4 linked regions of the Caenorhabditis elegans genome follow. The protein of the gene in region 3 purifies or fractionates together with the protein of the main gene of each other region. This does not show direct contact. Each region holds a gene or a part of one and is shown on either strand. Other genes may lie near its edges.

Region 1 (7,033 bases), on a different chromosome or scaffold from region 3:
TTAATGTCATATTAGCATATTTAGTATTGAGTTAACACGCAGAAATACCAAAGAAACCCTGTTTAATTCATTTCCATGTTTTATTCGCTTTAACTAGGGAATGACCAGAATAAGTGGAGCGATATTCAAAAAAAAAAAATTGTATCGGAAAGCTGACATTCTCTACTATAAGAATATGACTGAAATTTTTGCCCATTCGGGCTGGAAATCTGAATGGAAATTGTTTATATGAGGGGATCCATGGTTGTAGTTACAATTTTGAGAAAAAAGTTTAAATTTTAGGGGAAAAGATGTTGAATGAATCATTATGGTGTTGGTCGACACATTGATCATGCTGATATCGATCAGAAAAATTAAATTTGGGCTTTTATATAGTTTCGAAAAAACACGTTTAAATTTTTGAAAAATTTTACGTTAGGGTGGAATTGAACCCCAGAGTCCCACCATGCTTGTCATCCACTCTATCCACTCGGCCATCTCGCTGTTGCAGGCAGTACTAATTGGGGATAGTGAAAAGAGTTAACGTAGAATTTCAGACGTAAAAATTTCAGATTTCCAGCCCGAATGGGCCAAAATTTCAGTCATATTCTTATAGTAGAGAATGTCAGCTTTCCGATACAATATTTTTTTTTTGAATATCGCTCCACTTATTCTGGTCATTCCCTAGTAAGTTTTTTCAGTTTTACCAGAAATAAAACCACTCATAAAAACTATAAACTACACATTTAAACTGTAAATGTTGGAAATCATTTTGACCATCAAACAATAGCTATCGGAAAATGCAAAGGCCATTCCGTGATGGCACGCTCTTCTTCTATCCATCGCTCCTTTTCAACGAAACACACACACAAACGCAGACTATTGGAAAAGAAAAATATAGAAAAAACCTTTTTTCTCCTTGTCCCTTGTGTTGATCTCACTTTTCAGTGGACGTGTGCAGTGTGGAGGCCAGAGACTGTGCTGACCGACGGACGCGCAGGCGGTAAACATACGTTGCAGTGGAGAGTGTAGTCCCTCGTCGGCTCTCTGTGTATTTCTTTCAATGCCTGTGTCTCGGTCTATCTTTGTCTCTATCTGTTTTAAAAGTTTTTTGCAAAGTTTCAATTTCTTTTTTATTTTCTCTTCTTTTTTTGCGCATTTATTTTTTTTAAAGAGCGCTGTTCTTCAATTGGAAAACAGTATAACGATCGAAATAAAAAAAAAACTTGAAATAGTATCGGAATTGAGATGGGGGCAATTGAAATTGAAGACGCAACAAAAACATGTTTTTATCGTCTGAAATTATCTAAACTTTGAATCTAACGTGTCAATGGCTACTTTTACAGTAGACTTTTTAGAGTAATGTTAAAAAGGATAATATAGGTTTTTCTTCAAACTATTTTGTCACGCCGCATATATTCTTTTCATATTCCATTCGCAAAGTGCATGATGTAACAAAAATGAAACGTCATAATTTTTTAATCTTTCACACTTTTTTTGCCGGCCGTTAAATCAAAATCAAATCAACTTAATCCAACACGTGCGGGCTTGCAATTTTATTACACCGGTGTCCTACAGCGCCATGTTATCTTCTTTGATTAGAGATCTCTCACGCAACATTTGACATTGAAAATTTTGTCTCCGAATTGTTGTGTACCTACTTTGTCCCGATGTCCCAAATTTTCACTGATAACAAGAGATATCTCAACTGTTCTTATCACGTTGATACGTAGAACGTTTTACACTAAACCAAATTGCAGTCCCCTTCTACGAACCGTTTGCTAATTGTTTTGCATAGAACAGTGATCAATGTGTTGTGCTCACTAGTCAATGATGTTCGTCTCTCATTTTTCCTACAACTTCACTGAAAAGGTTTTGAATATCTGGTGATTGTAGGCAATCACACCACAGTTAATGGCCTGGCAAATAATGATAAGCGTGTGATAAACCTCACAAAAATACGCCTAGAAGTGGTGATATCGCTAGTTTTGTGTCCTTTCGATTTTTTTCGTGTTGCTTTTTTCTGTGGATAAACCTTTGAACTTTACATTTTGTTTTCAGAATGACCGCAGTGTCTGCAAACGGAAAAACTACCGAAAAGCACGAAAATGGTGCTCACACCAATGGAACGACAAATGGAACGACGAATGGATCAATGAATGGAAATGAAATAAGCCATGTTCAGAAACTTCAGCCAGTTTATTACAAGCCGCCACAAAATTTGGAAACTTTTGAATTGTCACTCAGAAATCATTTTGAAGAGAAAACAAATAAGAAATTTGGTAATTTTTTATTTAGTAAATCATAGGTTTCAATTTTAACTCTTGATTAATTTGAAAAATCGACCTCAAATAACTGCTATTTAATATTTAACTGAAACTGTGAGCAACTAGATTTTGAAAAATGCAAAATATTCATAACATCCACATTTTTAAGCTGACTACCGTGAATTTCACCGATTCACTTGTGATAATTATGGTATTTTCTGGGAGGATTTGCTCAAATTGTCCGATGTGAAGCTTCATCAAAACTACAACCAGGTATGGTATTGGGAAACTTGTTTCCACTTCCTGGAACATTAATTTTTTATGTGTAACAGCTCGGAAACAAACAAAGTATTTTTAGGTTATCGATCATAATTTGAAAATCAACGAGAGACCGAGATGGTTCAATGGTGCTACTCTCAACTATACTGAAAATGTCATCGAAAGAGGAACCGCCACCGATATTGCTGTATTGAATGCCAGTAAGTGTTTCATGTTCCAAACGTTTATTTATCAAACAAAATTCAAGGTATCGAAGAAACAGTGACAGAATATACTTACGACAACTTGCGCAAAGATGTTTATCGCATTGCCACATCTCTTCGTAACTATGGAATCGGACCCGGAGACACTGTTTGCGGCTTTGTTCCAAACACATATGACACACTGGTGGCTGTTTTTGCCACAGCCGCTGTCGGAGCTGCCTGGTGCTCAGCGTCTGTTGATTTTGGACCTGCTGGTGTTCTTGACAGATTCAGACAAGTTCACCCCAAGGTTTTGTTCACAGTGAATCATGTGACTTACAAGAAGAAGCTCATTGATCAGACCGATAAAATTAATGAAATTGTAAAAGGTTGGTTACTTTTGTCAAATAAGAATTTAAAACAATGGTATAACTTCCAGAGCTCCCAACTCTCGAGAAAATCGTTGTATCCGACACCTTCACATCTGTAAAATTCGATGCAACAAAGTACAATCAAAGTGACAAGTTCTCATCACTCGAAGAATTCAAGACTCCCATTGCCGATGTTGTGTTGCCATTTGTATATACTCCAGTATGATTAAGATTTGAAACATTCAAAGCATGTGGATTTTTAGGTACCATTTTCCGATCCACTCTTCGTAATGTTTAGCTCAGGAACCACGGGAATTCCAAAGGCAATGGTTCACACGGTCGGAGGAACCTTGCTCAAGCACATTGAGGAGCATTTGGTGCAAGGAGATTCAAAGAAACACGATCGTATGTTTTTCTACACTACATGTGGATGGATGATGTATAATTGGTGAGATTTTGTTTTAATTAAAATTGTATTTTAATCAGCAAGAAAATACAATTTAAATAATATTAGAACACCGTAGAAACTGTCCCCTGAAATGTTTTTTTGTATTTATGTAATAATGAACTGTTGGATAAGCTTTAAAATATTGATTTTTTCTAGAGACAAAAATAATTTCCGAATAAATATTCACAGGTTGCTTTCAAGAAATAAAACATTTTGGCAATTCGCCGCAACTTTGCAACCGTTCAGTAACCTTTGGTAGTTCTTAGTGCAAATGCTTGGATGTTCCATCTTTAACTTTGTTCACTTTTGCAACTTTTTTGATTGGCGCTGCTGAAATTGATCACGAGTTTTCGGCAAATTGCTAAGATTGTACTTATTCACAATTTCAAAAATATATAACTTTAATTTTTAACATTTCAGGATGATCTCGTTCCTATACTCCAAAGGATCTGTTGTATTATTCGATGAATGCCCATTGGCTCCTGACACCCATATTATCATGAAAATCGCTGCAAAGACACAATCGACTATGATTGGAATGGGTGCGAAGCTTTATGATGAATACCTCCGACTTCAAATTCCATTCAGTAAGTATATACATATAATTTTCCTCCATTCAACACCGTTAATATGATCAACGACTTTCAGACACATTGTACGACCTTTCCAAAATACACACAGTCTACTCGACAGGTTCGCCATTGAAGAAAGAGTGCTTCGCTTATATCAACACTTATATTGCGCCAGGCGTATGTTCTTATCTTGTTCTTTTGCAACCAAATATAACACAAAGTTTTTTTATAGGCTCTCATCGCGTCGATTTCTGGAGGAACTGACATTATTGGATGCTTTGTCGGTGGTATCAAGTCATTGTCAATCACGCCAGGAGAGTGTCAGTGTTTGTTCCTGGGAATGGATATTAAGTCATTCAATTACATGGGTACGTGCAAAATGAAATGTATAAAACAATTCGGAAAAAGCTAGAACGTTATGTCGAGAATTGTACCATTTAATACTGGGGATGAAAAAAGTGGTACTGGAAAAATTTTCAATATTGGCAGACCTCGGCAAATTGCGATGTATCTCAAAAATTCTTGAAACTCTAAAAATAAAACCATGAATAATAAATAGCATAATTGTATTTCCATCGTATTTTCCAAAATCAAAAAAAAATGCCGAAATCGGTAAGACGTGCAAAAAATTGAAAAAATTGCCGAGCGCGGCAACTTCTTAATGCCCACTTTTTTTAAAAATTTTGCACAGAACCCTGGCGATTGAATAGGTGTTCGATCTTTATAAGAATAATAGGTCCATATGACAATAGGGATTACAGGCCCATATCCCAGGCGAACAACAGCAGTGTTGCAAACAAATATACATACTTTATAATGTTTATAAATAACTTTCAAAGTAGTTTTCAACATTTTTCGAAAAGTTGCGAAGAAAGATAGATCAACTTTTTTCTCCAAAAAGTATCCGAATTGCAGATGAAGAAATCATTAACTCTGACGAACAAGGAGAGTTAGTGTGTGTCACCCCATTCCCCTCAATGCCATCACATTTCTTGAATGACACGGATGGCAAGAAGTACCGTGATGCCTACTTTGCTCGCCTAGAACCATTTTGGGCTCATGGTGATTTTGTGAGAGTGAATCATTCTACGGGCGGTGTAGAAATGCTCGGAAGAAGTGATGCTACATTGAATCGCGGCGGAGTTCGAATTGGAACAGCTGAGATTTATTCGGTTGTTGAAAAAATTCCACATATTGCTGATTGCATTGTAGCTGGAAGACTTGTGTAAGTTGATCATTATGCATATTTAGAGTTTTTATTTTGCTAATAGGTATGTCACTTACTCATTCTCTTCTTTATATTAAGCTAGTTTTAATTACTTTTCTCTATTCTGCAAATAGAAATAAACAGGTCGTTGATAAATTAACTTATATTTTTTATTCTCTAGTATGGCAGAACAAACATAAGAACATTTTTTTTCCAGCGAAGAGGGCATGGACGAGGAAGTTTTGCTGTTTGTGAAAATGGTTCCGGGTCAAGAGCTCACACACAGTATCCAGGCAGCCATTGTTTCTAAACTCCGGAACGACATGTCCCCGCGACATGTTCCAAACAAAATTTACGCAGTTGATGATATTCCGGTAGCTATTTACGATTGAGATATTTGTAAAAACTTTGTTTTTTCAGTATACTTCAAGCGGAAAGAAAGTGGAAGTTGCCGTTAAGCAAATTGTGAGTGGAAAGGCCGTCCAGAAAGCGTCTTCGATTCGCAATCCAGAATCTCTTGATCATTTCGTTCAATACAGACTTTAATCTTTAATTTTATTTCAACGGTTTATTTGTTTCTGTTTCTGAAAATTATATATTCACGCTTTCCTTCTTGCTCATTGCCTGAACCTGTTTTTCTCATTCATGTCATCATCAACATCAATTTTTGAGCTTTGTGGTCCTTTACATTCTCACCTTCAAATCTAATTTAAAACTTTGTGTTAATTCATTCATATTTCCCCTTATGTTAGCACCCAGGTTTTCTTTATTTGCACCGGTTTCTCTCTCACTCCCCAACGAAATAACTCTGATTTCACTGTTCCGTCGTCATCAAAAAATAAATCCCTGTGAAATACTTTGAAAGAGGAAGAAAATTTAATGGTTTCATTATCATTAAGGAATAAACATTTTGCACTAGATGATATTTTGGGCATGTCCTCAAAAACGTTAAAATGAAGACCGTCATTGAAATAGTAGGAAATATTTTCAAAATTTCAAAAGAAAGTATTGTAAAGGTACGAGCCTAAAATGTATAAAATTAGAAGAGTTTGTTCCCATGTAAAATGTGGACATTTCTGACTCTAAAATTCTATGTTTGCTTTTGGAACACTTTATGTTACATAACACACAAATTGGAAAACAATTGCTTGAAACAGATTCAGTTGTCTTGTAATTCATTACACATTTCATTTTAATGTGATTTTGAGATAGTTAACATTTGCAAAATTGTTTTTAAAGTTTTGCAAAGATAAAAATGCATGGATAAAATAAGTACCTAGGATAAATAAATGCATAGAAAATCGGTAAAGCTAAATTTCTGAATAAGGAGTGTTTACTTTTGAGCTCCTTTTCAACAAACTTGATTTTCAAAATCACAAGTAACATCCTTGGTTTGTCCCCTTCGTCCATCTTTGTGTGTTTCAATAAGCGTTGGTGCGGCAAGACATAATAAAAAGGTTAGGCGACCAGCAGAAGCCCATCACCATTCGTATGCCAACCAAATCCTCATAACTTTTCTTCTACATTCCATCTATTCACTTTATTCTCTCAACTTTTCTTTTTGTTCTTTTTTATTATTTTTTAGGACATCAAAGGTAAACGTTTTAATTCAGAGTGCCGACCAATTAATACAACTGCCTACGTCAAGTCACGTGAAGCTAATTTACGGTGCCAAATCCAATTTACATTAGGATGTAGAAAACACTAGAGGAGGAGCTTGTCTCATCT
Region 2 (3,547 bases), on a different chromosome or scaffold from region 3:
TATTATTTCACAGACTCAACTTTAATTTTTTTTTTGAATTTTTTGCATCTTTCGTAAGTTTGCCTTGTTAAAACGGTTTCTAATCTGGTGGGAAAAGTAGGAAAAAGCTTCAAAAACCATTTAAAAAAACTACAGTAATTCGTTCCCACTCGCTGCGAGACCCCTCGTCTCGGGAGGTCGCCCTCCTTTAAGTCATTACGGTAGTTTTGATACCAAATATAGACGTAGAGGCTCAATTTTCAAGTTTTCAGTACTATTCTACATAAAAAAATTTAAAATATACATTTAAAAAAGCATGATTAAGTGGGGATTAATAATTTTTTATCCTTTTCACCTCGATAACACCCATTGTGCTGGGCATCTTCTCCCACAGTCCACTTTTCTTCACCGTCTCTGCATCCGGATCCCAAGACGTGTCAAGCTGAGCCATGAGCTCACAATACGCTTCCATAGCTCTCGACCGGCTCATCTGACTATTCGCTAGCCACGAGTTGAACTTTTTGCGCGCGACCGTTTCGAACCAGTAGGGACCTTTTTTCGAGTCTGAAATTGTGTTCTTTTAGTTTCTCAGCTTCAAAATCGTCCATTTTAAATACCTGCTGGACCTTCTACAGCCTGCTTGTAGAGTCCATAGAATTTTAATATAGTTTTCTGATCGATTTTTGTCAGAAACCCCGGCAACCTTGTCGTCGCCGCGTCGAATTTCGCCTCAAGCAGCGTATCGATGGGTTCTTCTTCTTGATTTTCATTTTTTGGATGGTCCTGGAATGAAGAGACTGCCCATGCAATAATCATCTGGAAACTTTGTGTAACTACTGATTTCAGTCGGAAACAAAGAAATATGACCTGGCCTTTTCGATTAAAAATAACCAACTTTAATTCAAAAACAAAGCGAATAATTAAATAGAATCATTCATTTAAAAAGTACAGCAAATTAGTCCACCAAATCCTGGCAACCGGCATTTTGACGGTCTTCCGTCGTCATTTGGGACCATCTTTCAGGTGTGTAGGCGCAGATGGTGAGCGCGTGAGTTTCGTCCATGATTGGAGCAAGAGCAGCTTGGACCAATCTGTAAAATTGGAATAAGTTTATATTTACATTACTTTAGTGCAATCGTTGGGAAAACCAGCTCAGCTTGACTGTGACTTCCTTTAAATTCTTCCGTTTAAATTAATTTCCACGTACGTGGATCCACCCTAAGCTTTCAGCATTTTCAGGCTTACCGGTGAGATTGCAGCGTACACTTGCCCTCAAACGCCTCAGAGACGATGAGAAGCCGAAATTTGTATCCATCGCAGCCTCCGCTCTCGTCGACGACTTTCTGGAAGAAATTTTCGGTTTTTTTAATGAACAACATCAATAAAACTCACCAAAATCTGCGGCTTGATGGCTTCTGTGAGTAGCGCATTGACTCTTTCCACTGGTGATGCCATCTGTCGATTAAAATTTAATTTAGGAACTGAAAATTGAGCAGAAACGAAAATTGGAGAAAACCACACAAAAACCAGATTTTGAAAAAAAAAGTATAAAAATATTTTTTTATTGATTATTCATATATTTCGCATGTTTTTAGTGTATTTCTATAAAGAAAAATAAAGGAATAACTAGTAAAATCAACAGAACAACAAGTAGGTGGGGGAAAATATATGCTTTTGGGACTTTTTGGGGTTTAACAACAAACAAACTTTTTATGTGAAAGGATTCTGAGGTAATTTGTGATCATTAGACATTCAGAAGGGGTTGAAGAAATGGTTATACCAGCGGAACTTGACGGAAAGTGACGAGGGGACAAATTAGGGGATAGGCTCCTATGATTGCAGGATTTCGTGTCATTCGCGGATCGAAATTCAGGGAAAAATCGAAAAAAAGTTTATTGGAAAAGCTTCTCCTGGCGTCTCTTGGTCTCCTCTTCTTCTTGCTTCTTGCGAGCCTCGATCTCAGCGGCATCTGTGGTACGGGGCTTCAGGTTGAGACGTGGACGTTCTGCTGGCGGAGCTGATGGATCTGAAGTTTCCTCGGCTTTGTGTTGTTCTTCGCTCTCGCGACGTTGTCGGTATCCACCGCGATGTCCTCCGCCGCCAAATCCGCCACGACGCTCTCCTTCGTTGAAGCGGCCACCTTCACCGCCACGCCGGAAGCCTCCTGCTCCACGACCACGTCCTCCGCGATCTCCGAAGTTTCCTCCGCGTCCTGAGCAAAATTATTGTTAAAATGAGCGGAGAAAAATAAAATAATAACTGAAATACCTCCACGACCACCTCCGCGGTCACTGCGATCGCGCTGTTGGGCACGATTAACCTTGAGTACGCGATTTCCGAAATCGGCTCCATTAAGGCCACTGATAGCAGTATTCATCTGTTGTTCATTCTCAAAAGTGACATATGCGAATCCCTTGAAACTTCCAGAATCTCTGTCGTGCACAAGATGAATATCGAACTTTTTGAGCTGAAAAAACATTTATTAGAAATTTCCTGCTTTTCCGCAGTACCTCTTCATCTGTGAACTTGCAGTGCTTTAATATAGTTTCGATGTCAGTGGCGATGGAGTCATAGGGGAGCCCACCGATGAATGCCTGTAAAATTCGATATATTTAAAATGCCATTGCTTTGAAGTACCCACTAACCTTAAAAATCTCATCGGCCATTGCTTGAAAAGCTTCCCCAAGTGAGACGTCTTCTGAAATTCATTTAAGTCTTTAAAAACGCACACACGAAAGCTCGAAAATACATATTTGCAAATCAAATTATTTATTTAATTTTTTTCCAACTCTCAGTCCGCAATCTCGCGTGGCATTCGGTGTATTGGCACAGTGCCAGAGAGACGCAGTGCGGCAGAGATGCGTAGCCGCCCCGTTAACATGGCAAGGGGCTCTACGCAGCGCGTAGAGACGCAGACATGTAACGCTTGGCAAGATGCCAAACAAATCGATACGCCCTTTTCAACAGCCGTTAGAGGAGAATGGGCGGCAGTTTGAACGATTTTTATCTCATTTTCAGTGGAATAACTCATAATAATTATTTTAGAGTCAAATTCGTATCGATTGAAGCTTCAAAAATCGAGAAAGCCGACTATATGAAGTCCAAAAGATGATTGTAAGTGTTCACCGTTCAAAATTTTAACTATACATCAAAATTAAAATTCCAGTGCATCGAATGTGGCGGTACCGCGTTCAACAACACGGAACTATGTGAAAACTGCATGGATGTTAACCGTTCTGGCACGATGTCGTTGGATATGGCCCGTCAGGTAGGAAATTTTCGATTTTCCACTATTTTTTTTTCTAAAATCAGAAAATTTGCAGTGTGACATGTCGTCCAGCTGTGGATCGTGCCAAAGAATGATAACTGCAGATTCGAGGCAGTGCACAACTTGTCGGAAGTGAGATTTTGAATTTTCAATTGTTTTTCACCGGATTAAAATACATTTTTTTTGCTTTCCAGAAGCTACCATCTCTCCTGCGACTCTTCCGACGTCTCAAGCCTGAACAATTTCGTCTGCATATCCTGTCGTCGGCGAAGCCAAATGCTGCCGGACGACGTGATGCTT
Region 3 (4,070 bases):
TTCTCGTTTTGTGATTTTTATATGAAACCGGTAACCCATCTACATAATTTTTAAAAATTTAGCCCAAAAGTAAATGATTCAAAATTTCAGCATCTTCATATAACCAAGACATCGTTTATTGTATTTACTGATTTGAAACTTTTGGGATATTCGTATTTCACTGGACAGTTAGCGTTGGGTAGGTACCGACACAAGTCGGAAATGTAGTCATGTAGGTAGACAAGCACGTAAGTAGGCAGACAGGCACATAGGCAGGTGGTAGGGTTGGCAAGCAGATAGGCGTGGCACAGCTGCTTCTCGTTAGTCATGTACGTAGGAAAACAGACACATGAACATGTAGCTATGTAGATTAGCAGGAAAGCAGGTAAGCGAGAGTTTGGCAGTTTGGCACGAGTTTGGCAAGAGTTTGGCACGAGAGTTTGTATGTAGGCAAGTACGTAGGCATGCTTGTCTACGTGTAGGTATGAAAGCAAGTAATCAGGTAGGCATGAGTGACTCAAACATGAAGCTAGCTTAACAGGTAAGCAGAGGTATTTATCTGACACATAAAATGTAGGCAGAGGTAATCAGCCCAAGCCACAACAGGTAAGACGAAGTAGGTAATTAGGTAAGCAAGTAGGCAAATGTTTTGTGATTGGAATTTTTAGTATGTATTAAAAAGTATTGGAAATATAGTTTTCCAGCAACACTATGCTCAACATACGGAATGATGATAACCATGCTTGCAATGCATTTTTATTATCGATATCTTTCGGTTACATCTTCACTTTATCGATTTTTCTTCAAAAACCTTACTATTTGGGTCATCTTTCTTACTTGTAATTCTGCTATTTGGTTCTTCTGCTTTCTCGTATTGAACTCTCCGTCTCCAATGAAAGATGAAGAGCTTTTTCCTGAATTTTGGGAATCTTACTGCCTGAAACCAAATGAATATACCTACACAGGACCTCACTACTACTACACAGACAATTCAACTGGAGAATGGAAATTTCATATTCCGTCATTTGTGGCTGAGGGCTATACAGCTGGCAATATTGCTGTGGCATTTGTTTTTCTTACATATTTTGGCTTTCAAACTTACAATCATCTTAATAAACTAGAAGTTGTGGCGAGCGTAAACTTCCGGGAGCTCCAAAATCAATTGTTCAGAACTTTGGTGGTCCAGACTATATTCCCAACAATCTTTTTATTTTTTCCAGTATCATGTTTAGTTGTGTTCCCAGTTTTTGGGGTCAGAATTGGAGAGCATGCAAATTTAATCATGATTTTATTTTCTATATATCCATGCTTCGAACCGATTGTAGCAATGTGTTGTATCAAATGCTTCAGAGTACGGATAACGAGTAAGTGTATTTGTAAAGGTTTTCTTTAACTGCGGCTTTGCAGGTTGGATATCATACTTCATAAAACCAGCTCAGCCATCACTGTATGTAAACACGACTATTTCTTGATTTGTATTTTTTTTGCACTTTTTTATGTTCTCAAGTTATAAAGTTAATTTACATCAATTTACAAACATTTTTTTAAAACTCGAATTGCTACAAGTTCAAAAAAAAACCGATACATTCAAATAAATATATGTACAACGATGCGTGTCAAACTAGACACTTCCCAAGTCGAGGGGTAACCCAAACAGCTGTAGAATATATGTTGAGAATGAGAGAAGGAAGTGCGCTCTATTGAGAAATTTGAATTGAAATTGTTTTTTTACTCTGTTTCTTCTTAATATTTTGGTTAATTTTTAAGACAAAATGAATAATCCTACCAAAAATTTTCCAATGAGATTTTGAAATATTGCGAAATAGTCTCTGAACTTTTGGTTTGTTTGCGAATGGTGGTAAATATTAGATAAGGAAACCTCCTTTTTATGTGAAAATGTTGATGCCCTATTGATTTTATATTCTTTTTTTTCGTTTGTGCGGAATTTTTTAAACTTTTTTTTTACAATTTTGTTTTAAAAACTCTGTTTATAAGTACTGGACGTTCTCTGGCTAAAAATGTTTAAAAGTATGAGTATTTTTCAATTTTTTTGTTTAATTTTTCGGGTTTTTGTTTTCTTTTAGTGCAAAAATTGAATTAGTTTTCAGATAATTTTTTCGAATTTTTTTGAAAAATGAGGAAATTTTTCAGCCAAATTTGTTCCTATTTCCCATTTTCCTAATTTTTTTATAGCGATTTCCAAAAATACTTATATTCTTAAATTTTACTGATTCAAATTTTTTCAAACATCAAAAACAATAATTTTCAAAAATATAACGGTTAACTCTATGCACTCTGATTTGAGACCCCGGCTAAGCTCTGGTTTATTTTGCGCAACCCCGTGATACTCAATCTGTAATTTTATGTTTCAGACTATTTACAGAAAATTGACAAATGCATCTAAAATTGAATATATCAAATGTTCAATCGAATTTAACATACAATGACATCGAAACAGAGTACCAGCCTATCGATAATGGGAGCATTGTTACATGTGGGAAAGATTCTACAATAATAAAAGACAAAAGTCATGCAGAATTATCAATTAATGAATTTGCTGAGAAAATTCAAGATTCCACAGTCAAGCTGGAATCAGTGGAGATAAATATTTGCAACAACGTCAAAAAGCAAAATCGAAGGGACATTTTTAACTCTCTACTGAAAGTTTTTCAAGCAAAGAGCTCAAAGTTGCACGTGTCAAAATGCATACTGGGTGACTTGTTCGCACAAGAAATTCTATTGCTTCTCCCATTTTTTCAAGCTGGAGAGTTCGAAACTATTGAATTGTCAAACAACGAATCAATGGTTGGTCAGTTGAATGAAATTTCCAAGTTGGAGCAATGGAAGAAGGCCAAGATTTTGAACGCAGCTAACGGGAAATTTGAAATCCCAATTGAAAACTTGTTCCACTTCGAGAAGTTCACAATCAGCTTGACGTCTTTTTCAAAGGAGGATTCAAAGAAAATTAAAGACGTGAGTTGTTTAGTGAAGTTTCAGTGGCTCAAAGTTGATCCAGAATTACCTAACTTTGATTTTCAGAGACTCTACGAAATGGAACATTTTGGAGATGGATGCTTCATTTTTCCAAAGACCAACATTATCGAGATTGCGAGAGTCTTTGATTCAAATTTTTATCTCGGGGAAAGTGCATTGTTTGATTGTGAAGTCAATTATAAATGCTTCATTGTTGAAATTACAGAGAGGTTTTTCAAAATTCGAAAGGGCTAACAATTTTTATTTTTATTTTGTTCCATTGATTATTGCCATTTTTTTATGTCGGAATTTCATTTAGTTTCTTTTTTGATAAATTATATAGGTAATTGGTAACTTGATTCATTCCATCTGTATGTATTCCAATTGTATTGTCTCATTTTCCATTGTGAATAAAAAAGTTATAATAATAACAAATTTAAACAACGAAAACCTGCTCGTTCATAATAACTGGACGCACAAGTTGGCAGAATACCCACATCGATTCATGTCTACAGGCACTCGAGGGACTTGCAGATGTGTCTATAATTTATTCAAAACATTTTTTTTCATTCCGTTAACCTCGATTGTTTCAATAATGTGCTCAACTATATTCATGAAATGGACAATTCAATTGGCATATTACATTGAAACAATCGGCTTTGTGACTTCAACTTTTTTAAACTCGATTCTCTTATTCCTAATCAGTAAAATGTCAAAACAAACGTTCGGAAACTATAACTATCTTATGTTTTCATTTTCATCATTTTCAATAGTATATTCATTTGTAAACTTTTGGAGCAAACCGGTAGATTTTTTTTCAAATATGAAGAGTTATGACACATTATTTTCAGAATGTTCTTATTACCGACAAATCTTTTGCGATTTTTGTTGATTTGAAGGAGACTGGATTCACCAAACAATTCGGAGCAATTGCGATTGGTACTAAGAACGCTGATTCTGAAATTTGTAAAATAATTTGCGATTTATTCAGGACTGTATTGTTCTTGCTACAACATCATGCTCCAGTTGATCACAATTCATTTTTACTATCGATACCTTTCCGTGACAAGCCCAACTGATCTTTCGAGGTTCTCGGTCAAATCTACTCCAATTTGGAT
Region 4 (3,969 bases), on a different chromosome or scaffold from region 3:
ATGTTACCAATAGAGCATACGTATACGGTAAACATTTATAGGCACGAAAATGAAGCTAGGTTTTGATGATTTGCTGACAAATTAATTTCTTATCAAGCATGTAACATATGACAACACACACCGCCCTAGAACTGTATGGACGTAAAAAAACTTTGCAGTGTTTATCATTGGTTCATAATTGAAAAAGTTCAAGTTACCAGAACTTACATGGAAATTTCAAAATATGAGAATTTTGAGAAGAAAACAAGTTTGTGCGTTGTAAAAATATTTCATCGCTATGTTTTTTACCTTCTAAGAACTTAAACTTGAGAAATTCGAATGAATATTACGATTAGCCCTCGAATAGTATGAGTTTGCCAAACAAATTGATTGCTTATTCTTATTTTTGAAGGGAAACGGTACAACTCAGAATATGTCTCACAATCAGGGCCGTCTTTAATTAGACAAAATATGGTGACGCCACAATTGAAAATTGGTGGCTCTTATAATGTTGAACGACTGCAGGCTCTATTGGATGCATCTCATCAAAGTAGCTGTGCATAATTCTCTACAGCGAAGAGCCACAAATTGTGAAAAATTCTGTCCAAACCTCGCAGATGAGCTAGGGATTTCCAAACTATCTCACAGAGTAGGAGACTCGAGTTTTTTTTTCGACTGGAAAAAAGGAAGGTAGGGCTGACAGGCTGGCAAAGATGATGACAGACTTATGTGATGTTTTTTGGGGTTCAAAATTTAGATCAACGTATTTATTTTTGAAATAAAGCAATCATGCTGAGAAATACATGCCAAAAAGGAAAGAGAACGTGTGACGAATGTGAATGGGAAATTGAACTTTGAAATGATGAACGAAGAACCAGTTGTGGATGACGGTGATCTACTTGCGCTCAGCAGCAAAGGCATCCTCGGGGTGTCCGGTCATACTGAAAAAGAGTTGGGTTACTAAAGTTTCAGTCATTTTGTCCTATAAACTTACAAATCTTGAAGAAAGAGACGCTGCGAGTTCTTGCTCTCCTCGAGCTTGGCAATGTCCTCTTCAGTGAGAGAGAAGTCGAACACCTCGAAGTTCTCCTTGATGCGATTTTCTTGGATCGACTTTGGAAGGATTGCGCATCCACGATCAAGAGCGTAGCGGAGGAGCACCTGGGCTGGAGTCTTGTGGGTTTTCTCAGCCAAAGCCAACACATTTTGGTCTTGAAGGTCGGATGGAGCTGGAGCCCAGTCCAATTTCCTGCAAATAGGTGTTGAGAAAAGGAACAAGCTACTTGTTAAACTTACTGTCCAGTTGGAAGAGTGAAGTTGACACGTCCTGGGCTTCCCAAAGTGGCGTAGGAAGTGACCGAGATATTGTGCTTCTTGCAGAAATCGACGTGGTCGTGCTGTGGGAAGTAGAGATGAAGCTCGACTTGGGAGTTGTGAACTGGTGTCAATCCAAGAGCAAGAGCACGAGAAATCTGATCGTTGTTCCAGTTGGAGACACCGACAGCCTTGGCAAGTCCGGCCTTGTAGACTGCATCAAACTGACGCCAGACGTCCTCCACTGGCGAAGCGATGTGCTCGCTCATGTCATCGTTGAATGCAGCTGGCATGTGAGCAAGGTACAAGTCGACGTACTCCAGTTGAAGCTTCTTGAGGGACTCGCGAAGTCCACCCTCCAGTTTTCCCGGAGCCAACTCGTGAGTCCAAGCCTGTAAAACCGGATTTGTATAAAATAATATAAAGATGCTATTTTTGCAAACCTTAGTAGTGATGAACAGCTCCTCACGTTTGACAACTCCCTCCTCGAGAAGCTCCTTGATAGCAGTTCCGATGGCTTCCTCGTTTTGGTATACGGATGCGGTATCGATGAGACGGTAGCCAGCTTTGACGGCGGTCTTCACGGCGGTGATGACTTCGGCGGGGCTTGACTGCCAGGTTCCGAGACCGATGACCGGCATCTCAACTCCGTTGGAAAGCTTGATGGAAGCAGTTGCGGAAGACATGGTGATGGACCGAGTGTTGAGGAGATTCTAAAATTGAAAAAATAGAAATGTGAAATTTTTGAGAACAAAACGAGGTGATAAAGTATAGAGTAAAAGAAAATCGGCAAATAAAATTGTCCAAAGTTTGATAACTAACAGACGATTGTGCTATATTTGATCAGACGGAAATAGAAATAGAGAATGCTAAGAGGGGAGGGAGGGCTGATGAAAATCTTACAAACCTTGACACTATTCAAGTTATTTCCAAAAAAGGGTTGAGGGCGCTGATTTAATCTACCTTATGCCTCACGGTATTTATATTCAAAAAAAATCATCTTTATCAAGCGATAGCAGCTGTCGGTAGGAATCAGTTTGAGAGAGACCAATGGTGTATCTTGTTCCCGAAATGCAATAGTTTGCCAGCAAAATATAAATGATACGCAGGAGGTTAGGGGAGAATGAGAGAGAATCTGTGGGTCAAAAAATGATGACATTTTATTGTTCGAAGCATGCACCGTGGACGTATTTCGGAGATAACGAAATTTTAAATGGAAATTTGTATCATTTTCAGTGTTTCAAAAGTGTTACTTAGGAGGTGCGTTTGTAGTAGGCGAAATTAAGCGCATTTTATAAACGTCTACTGATAAGGGTAAGATATCAATCTACATTCTAGAACTGTTAGTTTTATTTTATTTTCAAGCAGCATTTTTACCAGCTAATTTGAACATGATTTGATTCATGAGCACCGGGAAAGTGAGTGCCAAGGAGAGGATAGGCGAGAGAGAGAGAGGTCACGGCAACGTAAAAAAGGAAAAAATAAGCAGGAAAAATGGAAAACAATGTCAGTTGCCCCAGATTTCTTCCCTTTTATACTGACCAAGGAAGCCACGCCCCGTTCCGTTCCCGCGTTCAAAAAAATGTTCCCGGTTTCCTCTTTCTTGCAGTGATTGCACAGTTTGCGCATAATGCAGATCACATAACAGATTTGACGCGCAATATTTTTGAAGAAAAGGCGCGTGGAGAGAGTGCGGGCAAAAAAGGGAGAGTGTAGGATGGGTAACAAAACACTGCGCAACAACGATTCAGGATTTTAATCGCACTGAAAATGAATTTTGTGATTTTAACTCTAATTTGAATCCGTTTTACTTGAAAAACGTTAGAAAATATACTCAAAAGTGAGACAACAGGAAAAACCAATTTTAATTGTTCCATTTTTCTATAAGGATATTTTTTTGATAAAAAATCAGTGCGTTTTCCGACTTTGATACCATTTTTCCTCTGATTTTACTTTTTTTATTCATTTAAATTCTGAAATTATCGCATTTGTATTGTGTTCATATACAAACAGAAATTCAATACAGTGAAATTAATAGTTTACTTTGAAACAAAAATAATAGTTGTTGGTTTTCAATTATTCTAAATTTGCAACATTCATTTCAAATATCCATATCAAGGTATCAGGTTATTTGGACCACGAAGCAGCATTTCAAAAATGAACAATTAAATATATACCTATACAGTACCAGTAAGACCAAAAGATTTTGACGGGCCCAAAAGACTGACGAGTTGGGAGAACAAAAGAGGTAAAGGGGACATGAACGTATAAAGCTTACGTTATGAAAGGAATTTACATTTTTCAGAAACAAAAAAAAGAGGGACATGACATTTACAATTTTTGGACCAGAATTTTTAATGAACGCTAAAGGATCAGGCAATAGAAATATGATTGAAGTCCCCTTCAAAATCCATATTCACAGCTTCCACCTCAACGCGACGGACGATAGTGCCAATTGGCAAGTTGTACCTGGAATAAATTATAAATATGAATTAGAAAAAGAAATGATCAGAGCATACCGGTTAACTGGCTTCTTGATAGAGCAACTGTCAGAACGAACAACTCGCGCAATTATCCAGTTGCGGCGAGTGGCTGCGTTCTGTGTGTTGATTCCCAAACGACGAATCGACGATTCTTTCACGAAGTAACGATTCGGGCTTGAGCTGGAATAAAATA

What was found.
Region 1: the proteins of F10A3.17 (region 3) and sur-5 fractionate together in Caenorhabditis elegans (co-fractionation; one large-scale study listed by BioGRID). This does not show direct contact.
Region 2: the proteins of F10A3.17 (region 3) and T12D8.10 fractionate together in Caenorhabditis elegans (co-fractionation; one large-scale study listed by BioGRID). This does not show direct contact.
Region 4: the proteins of F10A3.17 (region 3) and C07D8.6 fractionate together in Caenorhabditis elegans (co-fractionation; one large-scale study listed by BioGRID). This does not show direct contact.

The regions. Positions count from the first base shown.
Region 1 is NC_003284.9:7,300,578-7,307,610, reverse strand, and holds sur-5 (Acetoacetyl-CoA synthetase), read left to right. Parts: upstream 1-2,040; 5' UTR 2,041-2,041; coding exon 2,042-2,261; intron 2,262-2,415; coding exon 2,416-2,519; intron 2,520-2,604; coding exon 2,605-2,725; intron 2,726-2,772; coding exon 2,773-3,096; intron 3,097-3,146; coding exon 3,147-3,298; intron 3,299-3,341; coding exon 3,342-3,526; intron 3,527-3,946; coding exon 3,947-4,113; intron 4,114-4,174; coding exon 4,175-4,275; intron 4,276-4,330; coding exon 4,331-4,466; intron 4,467-5,013; coding exon 5,014-5,323; intron 5,324-5,522; coding exon 5,523-5,679; intron 5,680-5,725; coding exon 5,726-5,851; 3' UTR 5,852-6,222; downstream 6,223-7,033. UniProt on the Caenorhabditis elegans protein: Activates acetoacetate to acetoacetyl-CoA. Negatively regulates let-60 Ras activity during vulval induction.
Region 2 is NC_003281.10:13,640,894-13,644,440, forward strand, and holds T12D8.10 (BolA family protein), read right to left. Parts: upstream 1,435-3,547; coding exon 1,372-1,434; intron 1,323-1,371; coding exon 1,225-1,322; intron 1,071-1,224; coding exon 935-1,070; 3' UTR 902-934; downstream 1-901. Other genes in the region: acbp-5 (Acyl-CoA-binding domain-containing protein 6), read right to left, coding at 335-543, 597-795; drr-2 (RRM domain-containing protein), read right to left, coding at 1,872-2,191, 2,248-2,446, 2,490-2,573, 2,625-2,645; set-16 (PHD-type domain-containing protein), read left to right, coding at 3,088-3,093, 3,146-3,247, 3,303-3,379, 3,442-3,547.
Region 3 is NC_003283.11:16,157,987-16,162,056, reverse strand, and holds F10A3.17 (DUF38 domain-containing protein), read left to right. Parts: upstream 1-2,362; 5' UTR 2,363-2,373; coding exon 2,374-2,952; intron 2,953-3,018; coding exon 3,019-3,207; 3' UTR 3,208-3,378; downstream 3,379-4,070. Other genes in the region: str-109 (Serpentine receptor class r-10), read left to right, coding at 1-30, 91-178, 684-1,372; str-99 (Serpentine receptor class r-10), read left to right, coding at 3,566-3,757, 3,804-3,891, 3,944-4,070.
Region 4 is NC_003284.9:7,339,546-7,343,514, reverse strand, and holds C07D8.6 (NADP-dependent oxidoreductase domain-containing protein), read right to left. Parts: upstream 2,007-3,969; 5' UTR 1,980-2,006; coding exon 1,737-1,979; intron 1,686-1,736; coding exon 1,276-1,685; intron 1,229-1,275; coding exon 974-1,228; intron 921-973; coding exon 875-920; 3' UTR 735-874; downstream 1-734. Other genes in the region: epg-7 (Autophagy-related protein 11 C-terminal domain-containing protein), read right to left, coding at 3,666-3,762, 3,813-3,956.